Linked DNA regions of Caenorhabditis elegans. The protein of the gene in region 2 purifies or fractionates together with the protein of the main gene of each other region. This does not show direct contact. Each region holds a gene or a part of one and is shown on either strand. Other genes may lie near its edges.

What was found.
Region 1: the proteins of lap-1 (region 2) and alh-8 fractionate together in Caenorhabditis elegans (co-fractionation; one large-scale study listed by BioGRID). This does not show direct contact.
Region 3: the proteins of lap-1 (region 2) and rpia-1 fractionate together in Caenorhabditis elegans (co-fractionation; one large-scale study listed by BioGRID). This does not show direct contact.
Region 4: the proteins of lap-1 (region 2) and fah-1 fractionate together in Caenorhabditis elegans (co-fractionation; one large-scale study listed by BioGRID). This does not show direct contact.

What each region holds. Positions count from the first base shown.
Region 1 is NC_003280.10:11,726,710-11,732,411, reverse strand, and holds alh-8 (putative methylmalonate-semialdehyde/malonate-semialdehyde dehydrogenase [acylating], mitochondrial), read right to left. Parts: upstream 3,358-5,702; 5' UTR 3,334-3,357; coding exon 3,307-3,333; intron 3,147-3,306; coding exon 3,090-3,146; intron 3,036-3,089; coding exon 2,863-3,035; intron 2,816-2,862; coding exon of another isoform or gene 2,806-2,815; coding exon 2,298-2,805; intron 2,240-2,297; coding exon 1,790-2,239; intron 1,736-1,789; coding exon 1,379-1,735; 3' UTR 1,214-1,378; downstream 1-1,213. Other genes in the region: F13D12.8 (Col_cuticle_N domain-containing protein), read left to right, coding at 42-153, 589-735, 993-1,186; F13D12.5 (uncharacterized protein), read right to left, coding at 4,086-4,328, 4,376-4,475, 4,523-4,910, 4,963-5,173, 5,220-5,346, 5,399-5,595. UniProt on the Caenorhabditis elegans protein: Probable malonate and methylmalonate semialdehyde dehydrogenase involved in the catabolism of valine, thymine, and compounds catabolized by way of beta-alanine, including uracil and cytidine.
Region 2 is NC_003281.10:8,397,956-8,404,102, forward strand, and holds lap-1 (Leucine aminopeptidase 1), read right to left. Parts: upstream 3,974-6,147; 5' UTR 3,955-3,973; coding exon 3,813-3,954; intron 3,162-3,812; coding exon 2,842-3,161; intron 2,495-2,841; coding exon 2,146-2,494; intron 2,101-2,145; coding exon 1,971-2,100; intron 1,925-1,970; coding exon 1,702-1,924; intron 1,655-1,701; coding exon 1,343-1,654; 3' UTR 1,237-1,342; downstream 1-1,236. Other genes in the region: ZK353.2 (uncharacterized protein), read left to right, coding at 769-887, 935-1,024, 1,091-1,181; cutc-1 (Copper homeostasis protein cutC homolog), read right to left, coding at 4,568-5,003, 5,336-5,652; ubxn-4 (UBX domain-containing protein 4), read right to left, coding at 5,869-5,958, 6,005-6,147. UniProt on the Caenorhabditis elegans protein: Probably acts as a digestive enzyme.
Region 3 is NC_003281.10:7,120,519-7,125,209, reverse strand, and holds rpia-1 (Probable-ribose 5-phosphate isomerase), read right to left. Parts: upstream 2,083-4,691; 5' UTR 2,026-2,082; coding exon 1,966-2,025; intron 1,919-1,965; coding exon 1,766-1,918; intron 1,719-1,765; coding exon 1,476-1,718; intron 1,352-1,475; coding exon 1,052-1,351; 3' UTR 875-1,051; downstream 1-874. Other genes in the region: B0280.2 (uncharacterized protein), read right to left, coding at 1-40, 264-356, 443-523; B0280.9 (U3 small nucleolar RNA-associated protein 18 homolog), read left to right, coding at 2,319-2,474, 2,580-2,655, 2,702-2,910, 2,959-3,139, 3,191-3,291, 3,349-3,442, 3,490-3,622, 3,861-4,200.
Region 4 is NC_003284.9:6,445,722-6,451,430, forward strand, and holds fah-1 (Fumarylacetoacetase), read right to left. Parts: upstream 3,196-5,709; 5' UTR 3,188-3,195; coding exon 3,104-3,187; intron 3,052-3,103; coding exon 2,825-3,051; intron 2,332-2,824; coding exon 2,087-2,331; intron 2,041-2,086; coding exon 1,885-2,040; intron 1,760-1,884; coding exon 1,506-1,759; intron 1,402-1,505; coding exon 1,111-1,401; 3' UTR 1,025-1,110; downstream 1-1,024. Other genes in the region: asp-14 (Peptidase A1 domain-containing protein), read right to left, coding at 789-885; grl-6 (Ground-like domain-containing protein), read right to left, coding at 4,315-4,497, 4,541-4,663, 4,708-4,936, 4,983-5,140, 5,189-5,218. UniProt on the Caenorhabditis elegans protein: Fumarylacetoacetase involved in the tyrosine degradation pathway.

The DNA.
Region 1 (5,702 bases), on a different chromosome or scaffold from region 2:
CAGATTGATCGTCATAACATTCAGCACCTGCTCATGATTGAATGCGTTGCGTGGTTCGTATTATTCTACTGACCTGTTTCATTTTTGTCGCCTTCATTTATTTGGCCGTCTCACATGCGAATTCCAAAATTGTGATCGCTTTTGATGCAAATGGTAGGCTTTTTTCGAAATTTCGTTATAGTAACCAGTTGTTTAAAGGCGCAAAATTTTATAAAACTTATTTAGAGTTAAAAAAACATCGAAAATTATAAGTTATTACGTTTTTTCATAAAAAAAAGGTCTCGACGCGATCAAAATATTTTCAAATCTACCCAACAAAAAGTATGCACCTTTAAAATTACAGTAACCCATTTCCCGTTATTTCGCAATCTTCGCAAATGAATTTTTACAAAATCTGAAATATATCAATATTTTATGAAAAATACGATTTTGAAAAATTCAGCGAGAATTTCACAACTACAGTAGTCTTTAAAAGCGCACACAATTTTCCTGCAGAAAACTTCCGGTCGCGTCGAGACCCTAGCAGTACCGTATTTTTTGGTGAAAAAATTACAAAATTCAACAATATTCCTCAAAATATTTTTTCAGACGAGGAAGCCCGCCGAATTCTGGACAGCGCGATCCCGTCGCCGACGGTCGCCAGTCCATTCAACAACAATGCACCACAGTCGATGTCCGTTTCGGTAGCATTGGTGCTTATCGTATCACTTATCAGTGTTGCTCTTCTTATCACAGGTTAGATTATTATGAAGACGCAGAAAATGCGCTCCACGGCCAATTGGAACCGCTCCGCCTCAAATAGTTGGGTCTCGTTAGGAAAAACTGGTAACTTGAAAGTTACCACTTGAAGCTAATTGAAAATGCTGAATTTTGGTAGAATACCTAATGAGACCCACGGTTAGGAGGCGGAGCGTTTTCAATTTGCCGTGGAGGGCGTTTTCACGTTGATTGGGCATTTTTTCTACGTCCCAATAATATTTTATATTTTCCAGGTATAATCATAATCGCCGTCACGCTAGATCCAACTTCAAATAGTGAGGAGGATGAGGAATCGGATTTGGAAATCGACGAACCCACGGCGGCTCGTTCCAAACGGAATGATAAACAGATTGCCGATCCGAATAGTTACTATCCACGTTTTGATTATGATTTCAATCATTCGAATACGATTCTCTCTGAACTGTGATTATTTTCCCCCATTCCATTTACGGGTCTAATCGTCACTTTTATGATAAAATGTGTATTATATATGAACAAACAAGAAATGAGAGGTTGCAAAAAACCATGGCAATAAACGTTATTGAACAAGAATAAAAGAACCAAGAAGTGATTGTGTGTGGGGATGGATGAGAGAATTCAGAATTCACAGAATTTCAATTTACTTGAGCTGTGGGAACGACATTTGTGGCTTCAGCTCGGTGAGCGACTCGTTCCAGTATTGAGTGACAGTCTTCCATTGAGTGTAGAACTGGATTCCGGCCTTTCCGTAGAAGTTGAGATCTCCGAGGAATGAACCACGCGAGCCGGTGAACGAGAACATTGGGAGTGGAACTGGGATTGGCACGTTGATTCCGATTTGTCCGACATCGACTTCGTTGGTGAACTTTCTGGCGGTGGCTCCGTTGCTGGTGAAGATGGCCGTTCCGTTTCCGTATGGGTTGTTGTTGATGATTTCGATGGCCTCGTTCAAGTTCTCGGCCTCCATGACGACAAGGACTGGGCCGAAGATTTCTTCCTACAAAAAATTAAATATTAAATTAAACAAATTTAAAAAAAAACAAAATCTTACTCTGTAGCAAGTCATATTTGGCTTGACTCCAGCGAGAATCGTTGGTCCCACGAAGTTTCCATTCTCAAATCCTGGAACAGTGATATTGGATCCATCAAGTGGAACCTGAGCTCCCTCCTTCTTGGCACTCTCGATAAGACGGAGGACACGGGCCTTGGATTGCTTGGAGATCAGTGGTCCGATGTCGGTATCCGGCTTCCATCCAGCGTTGACCTTCAAGTTCTTGGCCTTCTCGACGAGTTCTGGGAGCCAGGCGCGAGCTTCTCCGACGAGCACAGCGGTGGTGAGAGCCATGCAGCGTTGTCCGGCGGCTCCGAAGGCGGCAGCGGTGAGCTGATTGAGGGTCTGTTCTTTGTTGGCATCAGCCATGATGACTCCGTGGTTCTTGGCTCCCATGTTGGATTGGACGCGCTTTCCGTTCTTGGCTCCACGCTCGTAGATGTGTTTTCCCTGAAAAAATCATGAAAATTGATTAATGTTCATAAAAAACAAATTCAAAAAAACTTACAGCAGCATCTCCTCCAACAAATGAGATAGCCTTGATATCTGGGTTATCGCAGATAAAGTTAACAGCAGAGTGCTGTCCGTGAATAATATTGACACATCCATCTGGAACTCCGGCCTCCTTGGCAAGTTCGACAAGAAGCTGAGCTGCTCCTGGATCCTGCTCGGATGGCTTGATGACCATAGTGTTTCCGGTGGCCAAGGCGACTGGGAACATCCACAATGGGATCATAGCCGGGAAGTTGAATGGACAGATTCCGGCGGTGACTCCAAGTGGGATTCTGTAGGAGTGGGTGTCCATGTCGCGAGAGACATTTGGAAGGGTCTCTCCCATCATCAGGGATGGAACGGAGCAAGCGTGCTCGACGACCTGAAGACCTCTGCTGACGTCTCCCTCGGCATCTGGAAGGGTCTTTCCTTGCTCAATGGTGATGCTCTCAGCGAGCTTCTTCATGTCTCTCTTGATCAAGGCTTGAAGTTTGAACATGCATTGTTGACGGGTCAGTGGGGATCTGGAAACTTCTATTATTGAAATAAAAAAAAAAGATCACACGGGATTCAAGACTCACGTGTTCTTCCAGGTGTTGAAGGCATTCTTGGCCGAGTCAACAGCGGCTTGCATCTCAGCTTGGGTGGCGTTTGGCACCATAGCGATGACCTCGTTGGTGGCTGGATTGGTGAGCTCCACGAAGTCGGTGGTCTTCGATTCAACAGCTTGTCCATCGATCCACAGCTTGACAGTCTGAAAAATTATGGAATTTGGATTTGGAAACTTAAGATCAAGCCTGAAACTCACTGGTGCGGCGGCAGCAGACTTCGATGTGCTGAAGTGGGCGAGCTGTTGGCATTTTGGCTGAAATTAGAATATTATTTGAAGTTTTGAAGTTTTGATTGTTTGATTTTCGTTTTCTTTTTCAATGTGTCACCCCATACGACAACTGTCGCACAGACTGCAAGTGATGTGTGAAGTACACGATTTTTTGTTAAAAAATATTATAAAAAGAAACTCCTACCTGAACACGAGCAAGACGAGACAACATTCTGGGGTACCGCAAGTTTTAGAGCTGAAAATTAGAAGATAATGACTGAAAACGCACGAGAAGAAAAATTGAAAATCACAAGAGATGGGCGGTCGCGTGGTGGTTCTGACGATTCGGATAATGCGAAATGAATGAAAACTAAACATTACTGATCACGTTTCGAATTTTGAACTAAGAAATAAATAAAATAAGCCACAAAATACACGCGAACATTGAAAATTAAAAGGTTAAAAGCTCTATCTGCGAGTTTTTGAAGTTTCAATGCTGTTGATAAGACGACGGGAGGAGTGGCAAATAGGACAGAAGAAGAAGAACAGTTGCTTTTCTCTCTCTCTCAGCAAAAAAAGAAGAAAAAGAAATAAAAAAGAGTCAGAGAGTGGGAAAAGTGATAGTGCAAGAGACTAAGAGACGGCCACAGCACGTGGAGAGACCTGCAACTGCCCACCATTTGACCCGTGTGCACTTGGAGAAACGTGATCGATGCGTCTCGAAAACTCGAATACAAAAATAAAATAGTGTTGGTGAATAAACAACGTTAAGATAAAGATCATTAATTAAAACAAATAAAAATGCGGAATATTTAATTTTATATAAAAAAAAGAAACAGAAAGTGCTAGGAAATGTGACAAAAAAAAAAGTAAAAAATTAAAAATTATGAGATGAGAATATGACAGTGTCTAGTGTCTAGAAGGATAGAAGGCTAGAAAAGATTGAAAAAGAACGAGAATGCTATAAATTCAAATAAAAATGATTTAATTCCACTTGTCGACGGAGACATCCAAAAGTCCTGGCTCATGGAAACTCGCTGGGAAGCTGCGCTGTTTCGCGATGAAGATGGAGGCTTCAGTCTCCTGATCCTGATGATGAGAGGCCTCGTCAGCCGAGACAAAGGACGATCGGAGCCAAAAGATGTAGACGCACTGGAGAATCACGAGAAGGATTAAGACGACGCAGAACACGATCAGCCACATCATCGCGTTCACATTGCTGTCGGTCTGGAAATATATTTAATTTATAAATTTCTTCAACACAACCAGCTCACCTCAGACGGATTATTGCGAGCCAGGTAGTCTGCCTGCTCGTTTTCACAGCTCTCCTTGTTGTAATTCTTTCCATCTCTCAACATGCAATAATCGTTGGCCCTGAAATTATGAATATTAAATTCGAAGATCGATGATTTCTTCAAAACCTGATGATGAGGAGCTTGTTGGTCTTCGGAACAACACTGTAAATCGTCTCCGCGTTACAAGTGATACTCCATTCCGAATCGAGTGTTGTCAGCGTTGAGGACAGGGTCTGATGCGTTTCGTTGACATCTCTCACACTCGTCTCGTAGAATACTCCGTTCGAGACACCTTGGAGTTCGCCGCTCAACAAGGAATTTTCGATTCGTCGTCCAGCCATTTTTCCGGTGATAATCGGCACGACATCTTTGATTTTTGCTTGGAACATCTCCACGTGGCCATTAATTCGCTCCTTGTAGTAAACTGCATCGGTGTATGGATCCTCGACCCAATCGAACAGTCCATTCACAGCGTGGCCAGTGTACTTTGCGATGTGCAGCTTGTCGAATCGATCTGAAAATAAAAAATTATGATTAAAAGGCAGGCTTATTAAGCAAGTGATTACCGCTGAAAATGCCATGCAAGTAAATTTGCTCGATATCGTAGAATGGAGGAGCTGAAAAGTCCAGGTAAAGCATGTGTCGAGTCGTGTCGAACATTGAACGGGCCAGATTTCTCTTCGCCTTTCCTCGAGCCCCGTCTTCGCGGTAGATCGACTCTCTTGACCCAATGTTCTCCTCCCGCTTCCCGGAGTTCTTCTCGAAGCCATTCGACATCTAAAAAATACGAAATTCAACACTTCAACCACTATAATAAGCATACATGCAAATCCGTGATCTTGATATTGTAGGTGAGACTGTCTTCTGTGACAGTCAACACCCTCGGCGCATGGATGCCATCCGGATCTCGGACCAGGTGAACGCCGACAAAGCGGTAGGGAATAGGCTCGCTGAAAATTAACATTTGTTAAATTATTTTCGAAATTTTCCGGCAAAACAAACCTTTTCGGGGATTCCATGACCCGCGGGCATTGTCCCGCTTCTACGTTCGCTTCGGCGAATCTGTAGTTGTCCTGCTGCGCGATGAGCAGGTACTGCTCGGTTCCCACAACCTCGGCGACGGGCGAGTGAGCCGCCTCCGCAGCCGAGTGGAACGCGAGCAGCGCGAGCAGCAGACGAAGAATTGCTCGTCGGCTCATTTTCTGAAAATGTCGAAAATGATTTTGAAAGAAAATTTCGCGTAGAAAGAAATAAAACACGGGAAAAATGACTGATATTAAAAATGAGGTAATTTTATAAAATTGAA
Region 2 (6,147 bases):
TAATAGTCGGCTCCAATTGCTCCGTTTTTCGCCCTTTTTATGAGTTTTGGAATGGTTTTGAATTGAAATTTCTTAATTTTTTTACTAAAAAATTTCATTCAAATTTATTTCCAAAGGTACAAAAATTGTTAATTATTGCAATTTAATGAGTCGCTTGTTAAAGGGAGACACAATTTTAGGGCATGAAAATTTCCATTTGAAACTTTACGAAACGCATGATAGTAATACCGAGAGAAGCATACTTCCGCATTTTTACATTACCCAGATGCAAAAATTTGCGATTAAAAAAACGGTATTGGTCTCGACACGACACATTTTTGTTAAATGCAAAAAGTTGTGTGCCTTTGAGGATTACTGTAGTTTCAAACTTTTGTTTGATTTTTCATAGATTTACTTACGATTTTTTAAAAATTTATGTGTTTTTCAAATGTTTGAGATCTTTTTTTTTAAATCGAGATATGGTGAAGAATCAATTAAAATTCCACATAAGTTTTAAATTACAGTACTCCTCAAAGGCACACACCTTTTTTGCATTTAAAACAAATTTTTCGTGTTGAGACCGGTACCGTACACCTATAGCGCAAATTACGCTAAATTTTGCATCTGTTAAATGTGTAATATTTGGGTCCCATCGAGATTTACTGTCTAAATTTCAAACTTTACGAAAAATGTTACATAATGTTCTATTTTTGTACTCTCGTCTCCATGTCCACTAGTTTTACAGGTTACTGTTCCTTTCAAAATCTTTTTTTCTCAGAATAAAAAACAATGTCATACGGATATGGTGGATACGGTAATTGTGGTGGTGGAATACTTGGATCAGTTCTTGGAATGGCTGGTGGAATGGCTGGAGGATACGGTGGATATGGTGGATATGGAGGTTATGGGTTTGTTTATTTTGAGTAGATCATTGTTCAACTCTTCGTTATTCCAGAAGATGTGGAGCAGATAATGTGTTTTATCGTTGGCGTTGTTGTGACTACAGTCCTTATGAATGTTGTATACAATTGGAGACATGGGTTGTGTGAGTTTAACTGTTTTTAAAAAGTTTTCAGAAATGCAAGAACACTTATTTTTGATTGAATTTCAGAGTATTTCTTGTCATATTCATAATTGGATTCTTCGTATGTCTTTGTGCTTGTCTAGCCGGATGTGTGTGGTCAGCTCGTAATCGTGAATAATTCCAATGTTTGACAATCAACTTATTAATTGTGATTTTGAAGGTTTCGATATGTATTTACCTCACCATTTATATGCAGTTTAAAAATAAAATAAGTAAAAACCCAGACATAATACACAGAAATAAACATGACGTATATTGAAATCATTGAATACGGGACAATTACTGTTTGAGCATAGGCACTGAAGTGTACTTTCCAAGAAGAGTCGAGAAAAGAGCTGGACCATATCCTGTACCACGATCTCCAACTTCAGCGGGAGCAGCGATATCAAGATGAAGCCAACGTAGTCCTTCGCCAAAACCAATGTGAGCACCAATAAAGAGGCCAGCGACTGCAGATGGTGGTCCATCCATTTTTCCGAGATTCGAATTTTTCATGTCAGCAATAGAAGATTTCAAGTCACCAAAGAAAAGATCCGGGGCAAAAAGCATTGGGGCAACCAAGTCTCCTGAAGCCTTTCCAGCTTTGATGATCTAAGAATGTAAAAATTAAATTGTTATTCTTTTAATGAATGACCAACTTCGTTCTCCAACTGTTCATCATTTGTCATAGCAGCTCCGTGAAGACGTCCTGAAAGCCACGCTTGTGCACCGGTCAGAGTAGCCATATCGAATATAGTTGTTGCTTTGAGAGTCTCTTTTGCATAGAAAACTCCGTCAGCAAGAATCAAACGACCTTCTGCGTCAGTATTGTTGATTTCGACGGTCTTTCCACTCAACATTTTGATAATATCATCAGGCTTGCTGGAAATTAAATCATAAAGTAAAATTGAATTGAAGTTAAATATACTTTGCAATTGGGCTGACATTATTCTCAACAATACAGAGACAAGCATGGAGAGTTTGTGAAAAACCGTGTTTGACAAGAGCAGAGTAAGCTTCAAGCATTCCAGCGGCACCTCCCATATCTCTTTTCATATCTGAAAAAATCCATTTTCATAAATAATAATTGAAGTTTTTCATACTTGGCATTCCAGTCTTGGTCTTAATTTGCAAGCCTCCAGTGTCGTATACAACTCCTTTTCCGACAAGTGCAATGTGCTCCGTCGATCCAGGAACCTCATGGGACAAGACAACAAACGCAGGTGGTGTTGGACCAGCTTTTCCGACGTGATAGATTCCGCCAAATCCAGCCTTCAACAGTTCTTCCCCACGGATCACTGTTATTTTTGATCCAGTCGCATTTCCAACTTTGACTGCTTCATCAACAAGAGCATCAGTAGTCAGGATATTGGCTGGAGTATCGATGAGTCTTGCGGTTTCACGGACCGATTCTGAGAGATCAGTAAGGAAAACTGCATCCTCGTTGGTGAGCTGCAAAGAAATTGAATGTTTGTTTTTCAATTAAAACAAAACAATTAATTCGGATTTTGAGATTGAGATCTTGAAGGACACATAACTTTCTTATCAACGGAAGTTCATGAAGACCGCCGAATTTTGCAGAAGCTATCAAATGATTCTACTAGTTCCTCTTTTTTAATTTCGTCACACTACGCAATAAACTCTTATCGTATTTCTACATTATCAGCACACAATTCCAGAAAAGAATAGTCTCCAGGCTGACTTTGCAAATAGAAGCAAGCACATGGTGTCTGCTGTCTATCAGTGATGATAAAACTATACAGATCAATATATCAAAATGAAGGATAGTTGTCACATACCTTGTCGCAAACCACATCGATATTCACATTCAGTTCACGAATTCCTGAAGTTTTCATCGAGAACTTGCAGAAGGTCCGAGCAATAGCCGCAACGTGAGAAAGAACATCTGGATATTCAGCAAACAGCACAAAATGAACATTCTTTGTATCCTCAGGATAGTTGATTGGTTTTAACTCCTTATATATCGAATGAGCATTAGTGGGGGTATTTCCACGTGAAGAGGCATCTGGGACAGTGATCAAATGAGCCAGCTCGTAGTGAAGAGGATGACGTCCTGAGGCGGGGATTCGAGAAATCATAGAGTTCCATGAGTCGCCATCTGAAATTATTTTTATATTATGGAAAAGTATGAACCATCTGCAGATGCAAAATGTTGTTCTCTTTACACCAACCATACGGTACCAGGTCTCGACAAGAGACATTTTTGTAAACTACAGGGAGGTGTGGGTCTTTTAGAGTACTGTAATTTCAAAATCTCATTTATTCTGAATGGTTCATGATTTTCCATACATACCTGTGCGGCATTTGGTTTCGGCATTTGAACAAAATGCACTTTTTCATAAATATGAAAATACGTCATACGGCATACGGCATACGGCATTCGCCATACGGCATTTGGGTGCATATCTCGAGCAGGGGTAAACTTTTTTTGAAATTTTTTTGACTGGTGACAAGCCTAAGAGTCAGGCTTCTCATCGTATGCTATTTCATACATATACGTATTTTCATATTTATGAAAAAGTGCATTTTGTTCAAATGCCGAAACCAAATGCCGCACGGGTATGTTTCCATAGTCTCTTCCGCGCTTTGTTAAAATGTATGTGTTTTTATTTAATATATGTTTAATATTTAGTATGTATATAGATATCTCTAGATATATATGAATTTTTTTAAACGAAAGTGACCATGTACCGTAATTTTGGACAAAAATCAAAAAACATCGCGTTTGTGTAATCTACCAAAACCGAACCTGTAACAAACTTTTGTGCGACTTCTTTGAATTTTCCTTCGAAAGTCACATTTTTCAAGACACTCTTCTTTCCAACAATGATTAGGCTAGTCAGGCCATCTCCAACAGCTTGAATCCCGTTACGAACGAGGACTTGTGTCATTTTTAGGTGACACTAATCACTGAAATTAGAAACTTTGAAAACCTTTTGAATTAAAAAAAAACAAAGTTGGAAAGTATAAACTATAGTATTCAGACTAAAAAAGGCAAACTCTTTTTAGAAAAAAGGTGTAAAAATTATTACTCAAATAAACCGTTTATCAGTTCCTCCAGCAGGTAGAGAAAGAGTGACCAGAGAAACATAAATGCGAGAAAAGGATGATAAAAAATGGCGAGAGAAAATGTAGAGCAAAAAAATGAGAAATTGAGAGAAGGAACAAATCTTCAGGGCGCGTGTTTGCATACATTCGTGGTCTAAAATTTGAGAGGTTGTGAAATAATGAGGAGCGAAATTTAAAATTTTAATTAAGTTCAAATCAACTCCTATATTAAAGTTGCCTAGGCATAAATAAATTGATAACCCTCACAATCCCGTAGAGTAAAAAAACATGCTACTTCGAATATCTAATTGATTAGTGAGCTTCTAAAATTAATAAATAACTTTCGGTACAGAAAAATTCTAGCCAACTAATTGCAAAACACAATGAAAATGTTAGAAACTATGATGAAGCATGCAATATAGACTGGAATATGACATGAAAAAGAATTGAACATAATTAAACGGGGGCCAATGTCGCTTTCAACATCCGTACTTCTTCCAAAGAAGTGACACGTGATGGCTGATTGTCCTGTTTTCCCATTGACACCTTATTCAATGGAGCATTTTTCTTGGCAACAGAAGCTGAAGCATGATACCAGTGACATTTAGTCCATTCGACAAGATTCGCGACATTCGAACTGTTCACACCACAACCTGCGAGAACATCGATCTTTCCTTTGTGAAGTTCTTGCATTTCTCGAATGATATAAACTCCGTCGAGTGCTGACGGCTCTTGTCCACTTGTCAAAACAGCTTTGAATCCAACATCAATAGCGTCCTCAAGACAAGTTTTCCAGTCATAGGCGACGTCAATTGCTCGATGAAATGTGACAGGATGTGGACGGGCAGTTTCAATTATTGATTGACATGATGTACGATCCAATGAACCGGCTCTGAAAATTGAAATTTTTTGTGGATCATCCAGAGCAATCAACCGTTATAATTACAAAACTTCTTTCGTAATTTTGCCGCATGTCTATGCATTTTAAATGTTTTTTAAAAACAAGCTTTCCGCATTGTTCAAAAATTAAGTCAGCCTAAAAATAATTATTTAAATGTTATGTAAAATTTTTATTGATAAACTTGATTGAGAATTTATTTGCGGAAAATGGTGAAAAATTCGAAATGAAACAAGAATATGTTTTTCTTTTTTCATTTAAACATGTTGGAAATAAAATTATAATATATTTATTTGTTTCATTCAATTTAAAACTCTCCGACTTACGATGTTAATGCTCCAAAAACGAATCCTGTGGCACCAGCTTTTTTGAGCCATTCAACGTCTTCCATATTCGCTGCCATTTCGTCTTCATTATACACAAAATCGCCTGCCCGTTGGCGAATCATACAATAAAGTGGAATATCGGGATACTTGTAGCTCAGAATAGACACAAATCCGACGGATGGAGTGAGCCCTCCGAGTTGTAAAGCTGAGCAAACTTCCAATCGATCAGCTCCACCGGCAACAGCATTTTCCGCAGATTCCAGATTATCGATGCATATTTCCAGTTTTATTTGCTTCTGGGATTCTGTTTCTGTCATCTTAACACAATAGAGTTTGAGAAAATATGTTTTTAACATTGTAAAGAATAGGTATAAAGTTATGGTTTAAAATCCGAAAACTCAGCAAGAAAACTGAACATATCTGGGATAAATGAAAACTTTTATTCGATTCGAATTATAAACGAGCAAAAAATAAATTATCCATGGCGATGAACTTTTGGTGTTGGAATCACAGGCGACAAGAAATTTACATTATTACATGAACTGAGTAGAATTTCCATTGAAACTGGCTCGCTCTTCAGGATCGTCTTCATTCGGATTTTCAAGCCCTGCGACGTTTCCACGCTGAAAATAATTTCATTATGGAAAGAAAATAACAATGCACACAAACCCGACGAACTTCCGCACTCCTTGGCATCCCGCGTCTTTGTGGTTGTGATCCTGATTGACCCGATGTAGATGGCCCATCGTTTTTCTTAGATTTCGAGTCTTGTTGTTTTCCGGTAGAATTCCAGCCAATCATACCACAGAAAA
Region 3 (4,691 bases), 1.3 Mb from region 2:
GTTCCATTACTATTATCCGGTAATATCGTTCCGTACTGTTCTGAAAAATTGAATTAATCGTCTGTTGAGTTTGAGTATTTCTTTGCAAAACTAAATTGGATTTTGCAAACAATCCTACTGCGACTCACTTCGAAAAAAGTATACATTTCTCATTTTGAAATAATTAATCTAGATTAATTGTTTGTTCTTCTAGTAGTTTTCATATGATAACATCTTTGCAGCTTTCTACCACAGTTCATCTTTTTAAAATTTATCGTACTTACTTTCAAAAACAATGCCACAGCGGTTCCCCCATTCGGTATCCGCCAATGCCCATTTTCAGAAAAAAGAAGTTGACAAATACCTGATGAAAGTATCTGAAATGAGCACAAGCTAGTTGAATTGAAACTACATTTGTCTTTAAGCAGAGACCGTGCCTATCTCTTAGTGCACAAAATCATACCTTATCGCTTGCCGATATTCCTCTTAGAACACTATTTTTTTCGTTGATCTCGAGGAAATCACTCAATTCAGATGTAATCATTTGGAAATTAAAATTTGAACAATCTGGAATGAATAGAATACGAATGATACGATTTGACGAAAGTGCTTTTTAATACAGCAATTGTTAAAAATTTTGAAATATTTACTTATTTCCCAACTTTATCAGTATTTTTGAAATTATTGCTCGCTCTTAATTTTACCGCCTCCAATGAGTCATTTAGGAAGCAAATTCTCATTTCTTTCAATCTTTAAGCTATCCTCGCCATTCATACACTTCAAGACTACTGTAATTTGAAATTAAACAGTTTCAGACACTTTACATCCAGACACTTTACATTTCAAAACGTTTTCAGAGTTTTCTAATTTTTTTTTCAGTTTTTTAAGAAAGACGTTTTTTCAACACAATTTTTATTGGGGCTATTCTAAGAACTACACGTATACTAGGAACATTGGGAATGAATGGGTACAATTTTCACAACAACTGGGAAGAGGAAAAGTGAAGTTTGGAGAGTGTGGTGGTGATAAGAAACAACTAATTTTCAATATGAACAAAATTCGATGCAAGTAGTCAGTGCTTCTTGGAATTGACAATTTCCTTGACAGATCCGTCAGAGTACGCGAAGAATACTGCGTCGACGCAACCGATGAATAATCCGGTTTCAACAATTCCTGGTGTATTGGCCAATCGTTGCTGAATCGCGAACCAATCTCTTCCGGATACGTTTTTCTCGAACTGCCAATCAATAATGAAGTTTCCATTGTCTGTCACAATTGGTCCGCACTTTTTGACAGCTTGTCGAAGTTGACAGCTTCCACCTTCAGCGCGTGGAATCGAACGTAGAAGTGGTTGAGCAGCAAGAGGTAGAACCTGCAATAAATCTCATTAAAAACAGTCAACATAACTACATCTATTTAGAAAAAACTATTGTTCTAAAGTTTATTCTTTAGTGCATCTTTCTTTACTGATAATTATAAAAAGTTAAATAATTTACCTCAATTGGGACATTCGGATAGCGATCACCCAAGTGTTTGGAATCTTTTAAATAATCAGCGATCACGTAAAAGTTTTTTGCAGCGGTTTGAACAATTTTTTCTTGAGCCAGACATCCACCTCCGCCTTTGATGCACGTGAACTGTCCGTCAACTTCATCAGCTCCATCAATACACACATCCAGTTCTGGATGTGAATCCAAATCGGAGACAGGGAGACCAGACTCAATCAGCCATTGTTTTGTCTGAAATACTTATTTATAACAATTGGGTTTGTTGAAAATCTGTTTACCAAAAAACTGGTTGGAACACAGATGATATCCTTGAGACTTCCATTCTGAAATCCTTGTTTAAGATATTCTACCAAATACTTGACAGTGCTTCCGGATCCAACACCAAGACGGCAACCACTTTGCACATATTTTTCACCGCAGGCAAACGCAGCCTGAAATGATTAATGAGGGTTGGAATTGGTCTTAATTTTTGACTTACTCGTTTCTTCGCCTGCTCAATAGGAGCCAGTTCTGCTTCAGGGCCGGTGGAGGTGACCATTCTGGCGGTTCGCAATACTCCTGATAATGGAAATTTTGTAGAAAACATACAAAAATGCTGAAAAGAAAACGAAAACAATAGTAAATTGATAAGAAAGACTGAAATTTTCAGCTGAAATACTGAAATTAATGAAATTCTGCATTGAGACGTGACGGTGTTTGCACTAAAACTACGATAACACACACTATTTGACGACAATTGCTTCTCATTTTTCTTTTTTCTTTTCCGAATTTTCTTTAATTTTCAGCTTATTGAATCTTTCATTAAGGTTATTTTGAACAATTTTCAGAGAAATGAGCAAACGGCCAGTGATTGAGTCTGAAAAGCCTGCGTGGCACGATGAGGACGACGATAATATGGTTGTGGCGGTTCCAAAAAAAGTGAAAATGACAATGCGAGTTGAACTCAAGCGAACCACAGACGAAGAACATGGAGAATTGGATTCAAAGGTAAATTTTTTTTAGAAATACGTTATTCAACGTGTAATAAAGATTATATAATTGAAAATAGGCAGAAGGATAAATTACTTCTGAAAAATAATTTTAATATTTTAGGAATACGTTGGTAGATTGCAAGAGGCGTTCAGAAAACGCCACGGAGGCACACCAAAATGGGCTAAGGCTGCTGCAGGTTTTTGGAAAATCAATAGTTCAAAAATCGTATTTTACAATTTTAGGAGACGAAGAAGAAGGGTCATTGTTGAAAACTGCTGCCGGATATTTGGCGAAAGACGTGAATTTACCAAAAACAACTATTCATACAACTCTTATAAAAGATTTCAACATCGGACACCGATACACTCGTGGAATCACTGTTGTTAAATTTCATAAAACCCGACCAGTGCTCATTGTTGCCGATCAAGGTGGAAATGTTCAACTTTTTAAAGTAAGTTGTGTTTTCTGTTTTAATTAAACCATTCCTTACTTATTTCAGGTAAGTCGTGAGGTTAAAAAGGATCGTTTCCTTCAAAGTGCGAATTTCTCAAAATTCCCGATTGATAGTCTGGAAATTGCTGATAAAGGACACTCTGTGATCTGTTCTTCAAGCCGAAAGGAATATTTGATGCAGTACAATATGGAAACAAGAGAAGTGACACAGTTGAAACCTCCAAACAGTACGTTTAATATTTAATAAAATTTGAAGCAAAACTTTGAACATTTTACAGCAGTACCAAAGCAAGGAATTCGGCTCTTTGCCATTTCGCATGACTCTCAATTTTTGGCAATTGCAGGACACAATTCTCACATCTATGTTCTCCATGCTACTGTATGTCAAAAAATTAAATTATTGGCAAATTAAAAGTTTAAATGTAAAATGTTTCAGTCGATGGAGCATATCACAACAATATCACTCCCAGCAAATGCGTCAGAAATCAAGTTTTTCCCATCGCACAGCCGTGAAATTTGGATCATCTGCGGTTGGTTTTATATTGCCAAAAATTCAAAAATTATTCGAAATTTCTAGAGACCGGCCAAATTGTGATCGCAAACATTGGATTGCCGGGAACCAAATCATCGCAACATACATTCACCGACGATGGAGCTGTGCACGGAACAACACTCGCCATCAGCCAACATGGAGATTACTTTGCGACTGGGTAAGCTTTTTTAAAATCAAACTTTTATAATTCGTAAAATCACGATACTGTCATTCATTCATATAATTCATATATTAATATAATTGTACAGTTTGCTACATCTTTTTTTTTGTTGATATTTTCAGTTTAGCAACAAAAATTTAAAAAAAAAAATCTTTTTTTGTTGAATTCCGGTGAAAATAAATGACCTAGTCTTTACATACATCCTGATTATATGATGAAAATTTGAAATTTCCAGAAGTGATACCGGAATCGTGAATGTCTATTCTGGAAATGATTGCCGCAATTCTACAAATCCTCGTCCACTTTTCAATGTTTCTAATCTCGTCACCGCGGTCTCATCAATCGCTTTCAATTCTGATGCTCAATTGATGGCAATTTGTTCAAATGTCAAGGACAATCATCTTCGTCTCGTCCACGTGGCAAGTCAGACAACATTCAAAAACTTCCCGGAAAGAAACGGAAAAGTGACACATGCAAGATGTGTGGAGTTTTCTCCAAATGGAGGATATATGGCCGTTGGAAACGATGATGGACGTCTTCATGTTTTTGAAATTCATCATTTTACAGACTATTAATTGGTTCTAACATTGTTATTCTTTTCTTTGTCGTTGATTTCGTCCAAATTGTTTTGTTTTTATTCTTCATCCGTTTTTTTGTTGTTATGAAAATTTATCGTTTTTATTCCAACTTCCAGAGCAGCTTTTGAACCACTGGAAGATTTAAAAATACAAACCGACGTTTGCACAAAAAATTCAAAAACAGTTGAACGTAGTCCTAGTCTGTACCGAAAAATGACTTGATCGTTCTTTGTACACTATAGTGACATAGAATTGTCTCAATAGTCGCCAGTTAGAAAAGGGTTGAACAACACAACGAACGATCGAAAATGACGAAAAATTAACAATGAATGTCAGTTTTTCACGTGAAGTCTGGTAGAATTAGTATAAGAGGAACAAGAAAAGTTTAATTTGTTTCTCCAAAGTCCGTTTTTCGGCAGATTTTTCACTGGAGCACAATAACCAATGGTCTCTTACCGACCTACTTGTCACCCGATTTTATTGTGTTT
Region 4 (5,709 bases), on a different chromosome or scaffold from region 2:
CTAAGGAACTTGTGTATTATATACCAAAAGTAATTTTCAGTACAAAACAATTCACTAGTGGAATGTAATAGATTTAGAAAACCATTATTCCTAACAAGGGAAGGCTCTGAACTCGTTATCGGACTTCGTTACGCCACTATATACATTCGATAGAGAATAGTTACAGATGATCACTCCAAAAATTTAGCTGCTTCAGAGCAGGTTTGATCAAGTTACGACATTTTGAAAGTGCCAAAATACCCCTTTTTAAAAATTCCAAAAAAATCAAAAAAAAAAAGTTTTTTTCTAAAAGTTGATATAAAATGTTTTCAAATAGTTGGAAATGATGGAAAAATCATACCACACAAGTTTCAGTTCATAATTCTCAAAACAACCAATATATAATTGGAAATCAACCGCAACATTGTGTTTGTAAGTTATAAGCTTTATTCTAAGTTAAATACATTCTACTCAATGTCGTAAAGGAAATAATGTTTGTTCATTCACTGTACATTTTATGTGGCTTCGGGATATATATATACGTGCTCTTAAAACAACTTACCGCTCTCCACTATTATTACTCCCAGTTACGTGTCTATCCCTATTTTGAATAAAATATAACGTTAATGTACCATTAAATGTTCATGTTCAATCAAACGTGATCGAAATTTTTATACGCTTCGGAAAATAATTCAAAAAAAAAATCAAAAATAATGCTTAAATGTTCATTTTAAATTTTGTAAAGGCTTCCATTTACAAACACCAAATTTCACTTTATCTGAAACAAATCTGTAAATTCTCATACTCACCTTTGGTAATGTTGGTAACTGCAGCATGAACTTTGAAAGGAATCACAAAAGCTGAGGTCGAGGCCACAAAGGCCAAAAGCAAGATTGTCTTGATCATGATTGAACTGAGAATGATTTCCAAGCAACCAGCTCTCCTATTTATTCGCTCATGCTTTGAACTGATAACATAGAAACCAAAAAATCGTGACAAACCCCTATCATTTTCGACACTGCACACTTCCACTTTCATCACTTTTCGTGGGCTTCAGAACTTTATTCGACGAGATACTACTAACAAACGAGAGAATGAAACAAAAAGCAAAACGATTTAATTACGATGATTTTAGATATCGGCTGGCAGGACTTTTCCGCGGCACTCTCCGAAACCAATTCTGACTCCATTCTTTTCACAAACTCCAGAAAGGTTGACCTCATCTCCGTCCTTTAAGAACTTTCGGATTTCTGAGCCAACTGGAACTTCTTTGGCTCCGCGCCACGAAAGCTCGAGCATGGATCCATATGCACCTTCTTCTGGTCCAGATACAGTTCCTGATCCCAAAAGATCTCCAGCGCGGAGGTTGCATCCATTGACGGTGTGGTGAGCAAGTTGTTGTTTTAGAGTCCAATACAAATGCTAGAAATTACAGTATTGTAGTTGAGAAAACCTTAACGAGCGTTTATGATCCAATTTACAGTGAACAGTGTAGATAATATCGTTTCTACTAAACTTGAACATACCTTGAAGTTAGTTTTACAGACAATATGGTCCACAGCATCTCCTTCTGGACGGATACTGACGGCCAAATTGATGTCAAGGGTAAATGGGTCATCGTGATGGAGATATGCTGGTGGAACTGGATCTTGTACTGGATTCTCAACAAAGTATGGACGAAGAGCTTCAATTGAGACGACCCATGGAGAAACAGTTGTGGCAAAGGATTTAGCAAGGAATGGGCCGAGTGGAACGTATTCCCAAGCTTGGATATCGCGAGCTGGAAAAGTTTTTTTTCGGATGAGTATGGAGCAAACTTGAAAATAACTACTGTTGAATTTTCTTGTCACCAAAATGTCGAGTTTAAATGTTTTTGTTTGATATTTAATTAACATCGTTACTCACCACTCCAGTCGTTCATGAGCACAACTCCAAAGATACGATCCTCAGCCTTCTCGATTGGAACACGAGTTCCCAATTCATTTTCTGGACCTCCCACAAAGAACGCCATCTCGAGCTCAAAGTCCATAAGCTTTGATGGACCAAACGATGGAACCTCAGCTGAAAGCGGACACATTTGCATTATTGGTGCAAATCTAAATCTTACCATCTGGGGCCTTAGTTTGTCCAACTGGTCTTTTCAAGTCTGTTCCAGATACAACGATTGATGAAGCTCTTCCGTGGTATCCGACCGGAAGCCACTTCCAGTTTGGCATCAGAGCATTTTCCTTTCCACGGAACATGATTCCGACGTTGGTGGCGTGATGGATGGAGGAGTAGAAATCGGTGTAATCTCCGATTTGAGCTGGAAGGTGCATTGTAGCATCGGATTGAGCGACAAGAGCCCGGCTTCTGTAAATAAAAACATAAGAATATTATTACAAAGTTTCTTGGTTGTTTTAAACAGAGTTATATGTAAGTTGTGCGCAAAACGTACAAAGCTTCTAATTACAGTATGAGATTTCAATTTATAAATCAAAAATTAATATAAAAATGTAGGTTTTTCTCGATTTTGAAATAGATTTTTTTAAAAATAATGCCTACAAGTCGCCAACAAAGTTTAACGATATATTTAAAGTCAAATGAAGTATTTCAAAAACTTTGACGGGTTTCCAGGCGTTCTCAATAAAATAATTTTTTTCAGATTGACCGAACATTTTCACATACTTCTATATACATTTCAACTTGCCAACTTGCTGCACAGTATTGATTCAACTTTGCAATTATAAACTAACGATAAAAATTAAAACTTGTGAAATAGTTGTTTAGATTTGGTTAGTAGATTATCAGACACACTTTGTACTACTTTTTAACTTTTTCAAATTTGTTTTGCCAACTTATTCACCTCAAATGAGCGTTATCCCTAAGAACAGCACAATCCTCTGAGAGCAGTTGTTGGATTCTTGCACGAGCTTCCAACCAGGCTGGACGTGGCAGTGCCATGAACGCGTTCAATGTGCTCTGCTTGAAAACATCCTGATGTGCCTTCAATTGAGGTCCGTCAAAAAGATTGGCAATTTCTGCCAAGTTGAGGATTTGATCTCCAATTGCAACTCCAATGTGGCGGGAAGACTGAAAATATTTAGTTTAATTTTGCTTTAGAAATAATTATTTATACACTTACGTCAGCCTTTGTTGAGAAAACACCATACGGTAAGTTTTGAATTGGGAAATCCGAGTTTTGAGGAACAGAAACGAAGGATTTCATGATTTAGCCTGCAAAGCAATACAAGTTTTGAAAAATGGAGTTGAGTAGACAGCAGTCTGTTATGTCTCCGAAACTGTACACGCATGCGGCGTTGAAACAGAAAATAGCATACAGGTTGGAGAGGGTGCTAGTGACAAATACAAAAAGGAGTCGTACACGCATAGGCCAAGGTCGATACACGACTAAACGACCACCAATAAAAACAAAACGATAACCAAAAAAAATGACTGCACACAGACAGTGACAATGACAGATGTGCACCACTGAAACCGCTATATAAGGTCTCACAAATCTAATTGAAAAGATAAGATGATGATAGTGACGTCAATTGGATAAAACAATAGAGTATATCAGATAAGTTTTGACAAGAGAGAGAAAACTACATTGGATGCAAATTGAATTGCGAAACAGTCACGTGATGATTTTTTCTTGAATGTTTGGATGGCATTATTCTATAGTTGTTTGTTTGCATTGGCAATGATACTGTTTCATGAATAAAAAGCAAGTAGGAGTATGACGATTTTAAAGAGTGGAGAACTAGTGTTTTTTAGAGTTGCTTATGTTTATAATATAGAAATCTCAATTCCATGAAGATAAATTGCTACTAAAACGCTTTTTATATCAGAAGAAAAACGGTCTCTAGCAATTTGTATCTTAGAAAACTCTTACCACCATTTCGAGTAGAGAAAACGTTTCACAATCGGATGTAGGTTTTTAACCTGTAGATTTCAGATCACCACAGCCTGCTGAGCAGGTCAAAAGTTGTAACTTAAAGGTGAGTTGTATTGTTAAATATTATCGGTAATTGATAAACAGGTACGGCGAGTGAAATGGTCAAAAAAATATAAAAATAATTTATTTCTATAATAAAGGGTTGTAATACACAAGAAACATTTTTTAAGGTTAAACATTTTGAAAATACAAACACCAACAGCGATGAACTATTGAATTAACACTTTCTCTACTGTCGTTGAGTATAAGTGTTAGTTTCAAACTTTTTATATCTTGTTGGATTTTGCTTTTACGAAATCAAATTGAATTAAAAACTTTCAAAAAATTAATTTATTGAAGCCAGTAGTGGACAGAAAAAGCAGGAAATACAGACAAAAAAAAAACACCAAATAAGTTTATTGCAATGGTTTGAATGCATAACAGGTGACATCTTCCTTAAATGCTTGGCAGAATGTATCGGTATGAGCTATGTAACTGAATTCTCCTGTACCACAAATAACGTTCACCTCATGGCCTAGTGTTTCTTCGGCAATTTTCTGAATGTTCCTCTTTGATTCACTTGCATCTTCGCTAATATTCTGAAAAGAGAGTAGGCTTGACGTGCAAAACGAGTGTACTCACATCAAGGATAATGTTTTTCAGTTCGGAACTGTTACACGAAGGGTCGATTGTTTTGGCTGCAAATGCGGCGCGTCTCACACTTTTGTACTTGCATGGCGATGAGCAGCCACAGCAACAATCGTTCTGAAATGATATTTTCTTAAAGGTTCTTTCAAAAATCTACCAACCTGAGCTGGAATTCTGACTGATGGTACAACTGCACCACCTCCACATCCTCCAGCTGTTGGCATTGGCTGAGGCATCATTGGCTGATAGTACTGGGGAACATATGATGGGTAGAACGATGGTCGTTGCATCATACACGGGCAAGATGGTCTCGGCATTGGTGGAGGTGGTGGAGGGCATGGCATTGGCGGTGGTGGAGGCGGAGGACAAATTGGTGGTGGTGGACAGAATCTGTGAACAAGCATGTGAATATTCTAGGTTTATTGCTGAAACTTACTGAGCCGGGCATGGTGGAGGTGGAGGACAGACTGGCATTGGCATCGGCATTGGCATCGGTGCAGCACATGGCATTCTTGGTTGGCACATTGGAGTCGGGCATCCTCCACACCCTCCTCTACCAAATGGGTACTGAGCAAAGGCAAAATGAAATGAAATCTGAAAATCCGAATGAGTAAAAGAGATATTCGATGATTCATTGCTTACCAAGAAAACTGCAACCGACAAAGTACTCATATTGCGCAAATATGGAATGGAAGTGGAAGAAGCTATGGTTTCCGACCACACACGCGGATATTTATACTACTTCGCACGTGCAACTGGTTTTTTGGGGGAAATTCTGAGTTTCAAGAAGATGCTGTGACCTTTAGAAGCTTTTCGATATTGAATCATATTGTGTTCTCAATGTTTCAAGTACGGGAAAAATGGAAAGAATTATTAAAATGCAAAAAGTTGAAGGTTGAATATTACCATTCTTTAAAAAAGTACGACGTTAAGTTTTTTAAAACAAAATCACGATGATGTAAAACGAGCATTTTTGCAATTGACAATTATATTAGTGCGGGCAAATTTGAAAGTGATTCATTAATAGTTTTTCCAATCAGCACAGTTTTAGCCACAAACTGTTTGTGGTTAAAAGTATGTTCCACCCGTCGGGCTCTGTTGTGTGAATTAAAACATTTGGTTTAAGATACATTTCTTATTTGAAAAAAAAAACGTGATGATTT